Linked DNA regions of Sus scrofa. The protein of the gene in region 1 purifies or fractionates together with the protein of each later gene. This does not show direct contact. Links are inferred from orthologs where the notes say so. Each region holds a gene or a part of one and is shown in the gene's direction. Other genes may lie near its edges.

Evidence for each region.
Region 2: the proteins of MOB1A (region 1) and PJA2 purify together in Homo sapiens (affinity purification with western blotting; 3 studies listed by BioGRID). This does not show direct contact. The link is inferred for Sus scrofa from reciprocal best matches to the Homo sapiens genes MOB1A and PJA2.

What each region holds. Positions count from the first base shown.
Region 1 is NC_010445.4:68,862,352-68,866,182, forward strand, and holds part of MOB1A (MOB kinase activator 1A), read left to right. Parts: intron 1-491; coding exon 492-585; intron 586-2,894; coding exon 2,895-3,028; intron 3,029-3,831. UniProt on the Homo sapiens protein: Activator of LATS1/2 in the Hippo signaling pathway which plays a pivotal role in organ size control and tumor suppression by restricting proliferation and promoting apoptosis.
Region 2 is NC_010444.4:114,368,141-114,371,971, reverse strand, and holds part of PJA2 (E3 ubiquitin-protein ligase Praja-2), read left to right. Parts: intron 1-684; 5' UTR 685-771; coding exon 772-802; intron 803-2,243; coding exon 2,244-2,444; intron 2,445-3,831.

The sequences.
Region 1 (3,831 bases):
AGATCAGATCCAAGTCGCAGTTGTGACTTATGCCACAGCTGCAGAAACACCGGATCCTTTAACCCACTCTGCTGGGCTAGGGATCAGACCTGCAGCCAAGCACTGCAGAGACACTGCTGATCTCATTGTGCCACAGTGGGAACTCCTACACAAACATTTTAACACAATTCTGGGAGTTCCCTTTGTGGCTCAGCAGTAATGAACCCAACTAGTATCCATGAGGATGTGGGTTCTATCTCTGGCACCACCCTATGGTTAAGGATCTGATGTAGCTATGAGTTGTGGTGTAGGTTGCAAATGCAGCTCGGATCTGGCATTGCTGTGGCTGTGGCCTAGGCTGGTAGTTAGCTGCAGCTCCAATTTGACCCCTAGCATGGAAACTTCTGTATGCTGCTGGTGCGGCCCTAGAAAGCAAAGGAAAAAATGAAATACCCCCCCCCAGAAAAAGGAAAAAACCAAAACAAAACAGAATTCTGCTGTTATCTTTCCAGCTGTGGATTTCTTCAACCAGATCAACATGTTATATGGAACTATCACAGAATTCTGCACTGAAGCAAGTTGTCCAGTCATGTCTGCAGGTCCAAGGTACATATATTGGCTATTATATTTGCGTTTGAATTACTAAATAAAGCTAATCACCAATTGATATAAATTAAATAATAAAGACTTGTTTTTCTCACCTATTTACTTGTGAAAACAAAAGGCTTACCTGTAAGCTTTTAGTTATTAAATACTTTGGTATATGCTACCTGGTATGTTGATTTTTTTTTTTTAATAATTCCATTATAGTAAGTATTAATGTTCAGGTGTAGGAGCGAAGGTAATTCGAGTTAGGTTTATCTTGCTTTGGAAAAGTTATTTTTTCAATTTTATTGACAGTTATGGTTCTGTTTCTGGTTTTTAAATTAATTTCTTGGAAGAGTCTTTACTTGACCCCTAAAGACACTAAGTTTAAAATTTTGGGGGAGTTCCCATCATGGCCCAGAGGTTAACCAATCCAACTAGCATTCACAAGGATGCTGGTTCAATCTCTGGCCTTACTCAGTGAGTTAACAATCCGGCATTGCTGTGAGCTGTGGTGTAGGTCGCAGACGCGGCTTGGATCCTGTGTTGCTGTGGCTGTGGTGTAGGCTGGCAGCTGTAGCTCTGATTCAGCCCCTGGCCTGGAAACTTCCATATGCCATGGGTGTGCCCCCCTCAAAAAAAAAGACAATTTTTTTTTTGACTAATAAATTCCAAGAAATATTGAGAGTTGAAACTATCATTCAAAGTTAAGTCAGGAGGTGATGAAATTAATAATTTAGTGTTTCCTTCCAGTCTCTTTTCCTCTAATAAATGATTTTATGTGATGATAGATGGTAATCAAGATGTTTACCTCTTGGCAAAAAATTGTCCTTTCTGAATCTGCTACAGTTGTAAAGGAAAAGAAAAGTGAGTTTGAATCCTATTTTTTCTTTTGGCTGCACCTGCAGCATATGAAAATTCCCGGGCCAGAGATCAAACCCGTGCTATAACAGAGACGTGAGCTACAGCAATGACAATACCAGATCCTTAATCCACTGCATACAAGGGAACTCAATGAGTCCATTTTTATTACATTATTTTAGGAGGATTTTGATTTTTTTTTTTTTTTTTTTTTTTTTTTGCTTTTTAGGGCCGCACCCATGACATACAGAAGTTCCTGGGCTTGGGGTTGAATCAGAGCCATAGCCATCGGCCTACACCACAGCCATAGTGATGCCAGAGCCGAGCTGTGTCTGCAGCCTATACCATAGCTGACAGCAATGCCAGATCCTTAACCCACTGAGTGAGGCCAGTGATGGAACCCACATCCTCAGATTCTTACTTCTGAGCCACAACAGGAACTCCAGGAGGAATGTTTTTTTATTTTGTGCGGTGTTACAGTTTTATTTCTCAAACTTCCTTAAAAGAAATTTAAATAAAACAAATAGAAAACACTATCTTTGGCTTAAGTGCTTCATACAGTGAAGTTGTGATTATCTTATTAATCATTCTAGCTCATCAAAGGGGAGGTAGAGAAAGATTCATGCCTTTTTAAAGATCTTTTTAACGATCGTTTCTTTAAAATTCCCTCCAAGAAACAAGAGTTTATAATTTTGGCTTTTTTTTTTTTTTTTTTTTTTTGTCTTTTTGCCTTTTTTAGGGCCGCTTCCTTCGGCATATGGAGGTTCCCAAGTCAGAGCTGTAGCCACCAGCCTACACCACAGCCACAGCAATGCTGGATCCAAGCCAAGTCTGCGACCTACACCACAGCTCAGGGCAATGCCAGATCCTTAACCCACTGAGCAAGGCCAGGGATCAAACCCGCAACCTCATGGTTCCTAGTCGGATTCGTTAACCACTGCGCCACGACGGGAACTCCAATTTTGGCTCTTTTGATGATTACTGAACGGCCAACAAACTCAGAATGTGGTGGATCCATCAGCCCCTTGCCCATTCTCAGCACCTTTACCTAACGGACAGGAATGCAGTTCTTTTGTCTTTCTCAGGGATGTGCTATAAAACATATTCTGGCACAGCCAGCTACCACACTATCTTCATTTTCTCTTCCATTTGTAACTATCACATTTCAGAGTATGGGTATAACTTATAGTTAGCCCTTCATATCCATGATTCCACTGCATCCACGGGTTCAGCCAACTGTGCATCATGTAGTGTAGTATTTACCATTGAAAACTATCCTTTGCAAGTGGACCTGCACAGTTCAAACCTGTGTTGTTCAAGGCTCAACTGTAATTCTCTAGGGAAGTTTCAAGTCATCTTTAGGAGAACTTTAGGTAATTTACTAAAGGAACTTCTGTTGACAGACTGTGAACCTACCTTGATTACAACATGTTTTTGAAAATTTTGTCACTAAAACTTTTTCTCTCCAGATATGAATACCATTGGGCAGATGGTACTAATATTAAAAAACCAATCAAATGTTCTGCACCAAAATACATTGACTATTTGATGACTTGGGTTCAGGATCAACTTGATGATGAAACTCTTTTTCCTTCTAAGATTGGTGAGTTAATGTTATAGAACTAATTTTCTTTTTACTTTTGTTTTATTTTTAAAAATTTAATTATTGTTGACTTACAGTGTTCTGTCAGTTTCTGCTACACAGCAAAGTGACCCAGTTAAAAATACATTCTTTTTCTCAGTTTATCCTCCATCATGTTCCATCACAAGTGATTGGTTATTGTTCCCTGTGCTAGGGAGCAGGATCTCTTGCTTATCCACTCCAAATGCGGTAGTTTGTATCTACTGATCCCAAACTCCCAGTCCACTCCCTCCTCCTTGGCCACCACAAGTCTGTTCTCCATGTCCATGAGTTTGTTTCTTTTCTGTAGATGGGTTCAGTTGTGCCATATATCAGATTCCAGATATAAGTGGTATCATATGGTATTTGTCTTTCTCTTTCTGACACACTTCATTTAGTATGCGAATTTCTAGTTCCATCCATGTTGCTACAAATGGCATTATTTTGTTCTTTTATGGCTGAGTAGTATTGCATTATGTGTATATACCACATCTTCTTAATCTATTCATCTGTCAATGGACATTTAGGTTGTTTCCATGTCTTGGCTACCGTAAATAGTGCTACAATAAACACGGGGTTCATGTATCTTTTTGAATGAAAGTTTTGTCTGGATATATGCCCAGGAGTGGGATTGCTGGATCATATGGTAGTTCTGTATTTAGTTTTCTGAGATACCTGCATACTGTTTTCCATAGTGGTTGTATCAATTTACATTCCCACTCACAGTGTAGGAGGGTTCCCTTTTCTCCACACCCTCTCCAGCATTTGTTATTGTTGACTAAGTA
Region 2 (3,831 bases), on another chromosome or scaffold:
TTTTTTTGTCTTTTTTGACCTTTCTTGGGCCACTCCTGCGGCATATGGAGGTTCCCGGGCTAGGGGCCTAATCGGAACTGTAGCTGCCGGCCTATGCCAGCACGGGATCCCAGCCGCATCTGCGACCTACACCACAGCCCATGGCAATGTCGGATCCTCAACCCACTGAGCAAGGCCAGGAATCGAACCCACAACCTCATGGTTCCTAGTGGGATTTAACCACTGAGTGACGACGAGAACTCCCGGGTTAACTTCTTTTAACAATGCCAGGCTAAAGTGTTTTGGTGGAGAAGAAAAGATGGCATAGTATGTGGTAGACCCCCAAACAGTTTGGTCACTTACCCTAATTAACACTTTTCCCAATATATTTGCTTCTTACTTATAAATTATATGTGTTTCGTTATCATTGTCGGTCTTAAGGTTAAAATGTATTAAAGCAAGATTTTTCATGATGAGATCTAAATCTGTTTTCAAAGCAGCCATCTTGGTAGTTTTAAGGTTCTTTGGTTTGACTTGTAAGATCCAGTTGTATTTTTCTGTGTAATGAGTTAATAAAGAGCTGAACTGGTCAGATCCAGTTGTATTTTTCTATGTTATGGGTTAGGAGAGAGAAGTATTACTTTTGCCTTTTTTGTTTTGCCCTTGTATTATTAATATTTTGTTTAATCCGTGGTTTCTTTGTAGGAATCTTTTGCAGCTTATCCATTGTGTGAGTAAAAAGTAAATCACATCCATAATTCCACTGAACTGGGCACACAAAAACTGCCATATATGTCACAGTATACTGAAAAAGAGCCGGCAGGTAAGCATGATGTTGCTGTCAGTTCCTCTAACATTGTGGACTTCCTATTTTTCCCTCCATATTTCTTGAGTACCATATGTGATATATGACCATGGTATTACTTAGGGCCAGTTTTAATCCATATATTAAATATTTATAAAGCTTAATTTCTAATATTGATACAAAAATGAGTATAAATAGAAATTCTTATATTTTCTTTTCACACTCCCTTGGCATCTATTTTGCTTTCCACTTTGGAAACTATTCTTTTGGTGTTTAGGTTACTGGACAAGTTACTTAATTAATTTTAACCCTAATTTTTTGATATTTAAAAAAAATGCAATATTCACCTCATAAAGTTTATGAATCAATCATGTAACAGTGCAATACTTGGTATTATATATTATAAATACATATTTGTTTTTCTTTGTGCTTAGAAACAATTAGATTTCCTATTTCAGTGTCACAAAACAAAAAATACATAACTATTTCATTTATTGACTGTCCCATATTCTGTGAGAAAATATTTTTAGTTCCTGCATATATATGTAGACCCAATTGAATAAGCAAATGTGTAGTATACATGTATGATGATACATACACACGTGATATACATGATATATTATCATGTATATGATCTATACATATATGATATACATACACACATGGGATATACATGATTATTATATATGTATACTATTCATTTGCTTATTCACTTGGGTCTACGTATATTATATGACAATGTGCTACTTAATAAAGATGCTACTGTTCGCTACTGTATATCCCTTCAGAATCAGTACTTAGTATTCAGGTTGTTCAGCTGTTAATGGATTTTCTCACCTTATGTATACCATTGGTAGTTTTGAAAAGTGGGGTAGCATGTGTTTGACTTGGCTCATCACTGTTTTCTTTCAGAGAATTTTCCTTGGCCCTAATTTTGGCAGGTTGTTTAATTGTGGTCCACTTGGTTCTTTATGATAGTACAGGTACCATTAAAGAAATTACTTTTCATCTTTGGAATGTATTCACTTTTAATGTAATTTAGTCCAATATACCTGTGTGAGTAATTCACTTAATGAATTTGTATTGAGCACTTATATGTAAGGTACTTAGATAATTTGGAGGATCATTCTCCAATTCTTAAGGAGCTTTTACAGTATAGAAATTTGGCATGTGAAAAAAAATTTTGGTAGGTTACATTATAAAAATTCTGAAATACATTTAAGGTACCAAACTTTAAAAGATATATTTTTGGGGGGTAAAGAGGTCACATAATTCTCCTAATGTATTTCATATTTACTTTTCAAGTAAGTTTGTGTAGTACTAGTAAGGTGCACTTGATGTTCAGTAGCTTATGCTTTGGCAAATAATAGATACACGTTGAAACATTACCCCAAATATCAGAATAAAAGGTCAGAATAAAAGAGGCTGTGCCCCTTTTATTTTTAACTCTGTTTTCCAGCAATGGATCAAGAATCCAGCAAGGCTGCCTGGCCCAAATCAGCAGGAGGATATCAGACAATCACAGGCAGGAGATATGGCAGAAGACATGCATATGTCAGTTTTAAACCATGTATGACCAGGCATGAAAGGAGCTTAGGTCGGGCTGGTGATGACTATGAAGTGTTGGAACTAGATGATGTTCCAAAAGAAAATTCCTCAGGTATGTAACATGAATTATTTTTAATAAGCATGTAAGAATTGGTCATATAATATTTGAAATATTGAGTCAGTTTTATATGTAGCTGAGTATAAATGCTATACATTTCCTATTAAGAAGTTCTGTTTTTAAATTTTTATTGAATTTAATGTTAATAGTATATAAACTTAAACAAAGAAAATAGAATATGGCCAATCATTATAACTACTTAGGCATGGCAGTGATTATATTGTCACATCCTTCAGCCAGAGGAAATCTTCATGTTTGAATCAAAAAAAAAATTGTTAATGTGAACTGAGTATATTTTCCCCTGCATATTACATTTAAATAGCTTTTTTGTTATTTTATTTGTAACTAAATAATTTTTTTTAAGAATCATCATATAAAATACAGATGTCAAGCAGCATTTAATTATTCAATTAAAATTTCTTAATTGTTCATTGGTTCGAAAAAGTATGTTGCACATATCCATGTGCTATAATTACATGTTTTTTGGACTGGAATATAATCTTCCTCTTTCCTGAGCAAAGTTGATAATTCTAGATTATTTTTACTGTCATTTATGTACAAGAATCTGAATTATTAGCCAAGGTCATTATGTTAAAGAAGGCCTTTTGCGATATGACAAGACTTCCCTTCAGTTTTTTATAATTCATAAATTTTTGTTCCAGCTATTCTCAATGTCTTCATTTTTGAAATTATTACATTAGTGATGGTAAAGATAGTCGTGCTTAAAATAATTTTTAGAGTAGATACAATTTTACTTTTGTCTCAGAATTCTGACAAACTATGTCAGAAACACCATTGTATTTTTTGTTGTTTTTCAGTCATAGTTGTGAGGTAGCTAAAGTTAATTCATTTTCATAGGTATCTTACAGCAGTTCATTTTGGGCATAGAAATCTAATATTATGTATCTAGATACAGAGATAATTTTCTGAAATGACATAAAACTCAATAGAATCTTATTTCTGCTAGATCTGTAACCTGCTCTTATAGCTGTTATAAGCACCTTAAAAAGCTGTGTGTAGTAAAAGAATTTAAGTGTGAATTGTACTCTCCAACAACTGGGAGGTTACTCTTTGACTTCACTTTGGTCTCTCACTGTGTAGTGTCTCATTAGCCTCCCTTTTAAATGTCTTTTAGAGATTGTTTTAGGTTTTAGAATGGTTAAAAACCTACAGAAGACATCTGAGGGACAGTATGTCGAGAGGCTACTAAATTGTATGAATGAACTCATAGGATGACCATTCTGCCCTCCCAGTTAAATTAGGGAGTCTAGAAGCACATGTCAGAGAAATTTACTCATATTCTCAAATAGGTAATAATTGGTACAGTTTCTTCTTAAGAATTGTTATTAAATAAAATCTATCTAAATTAATTCCTCTACAT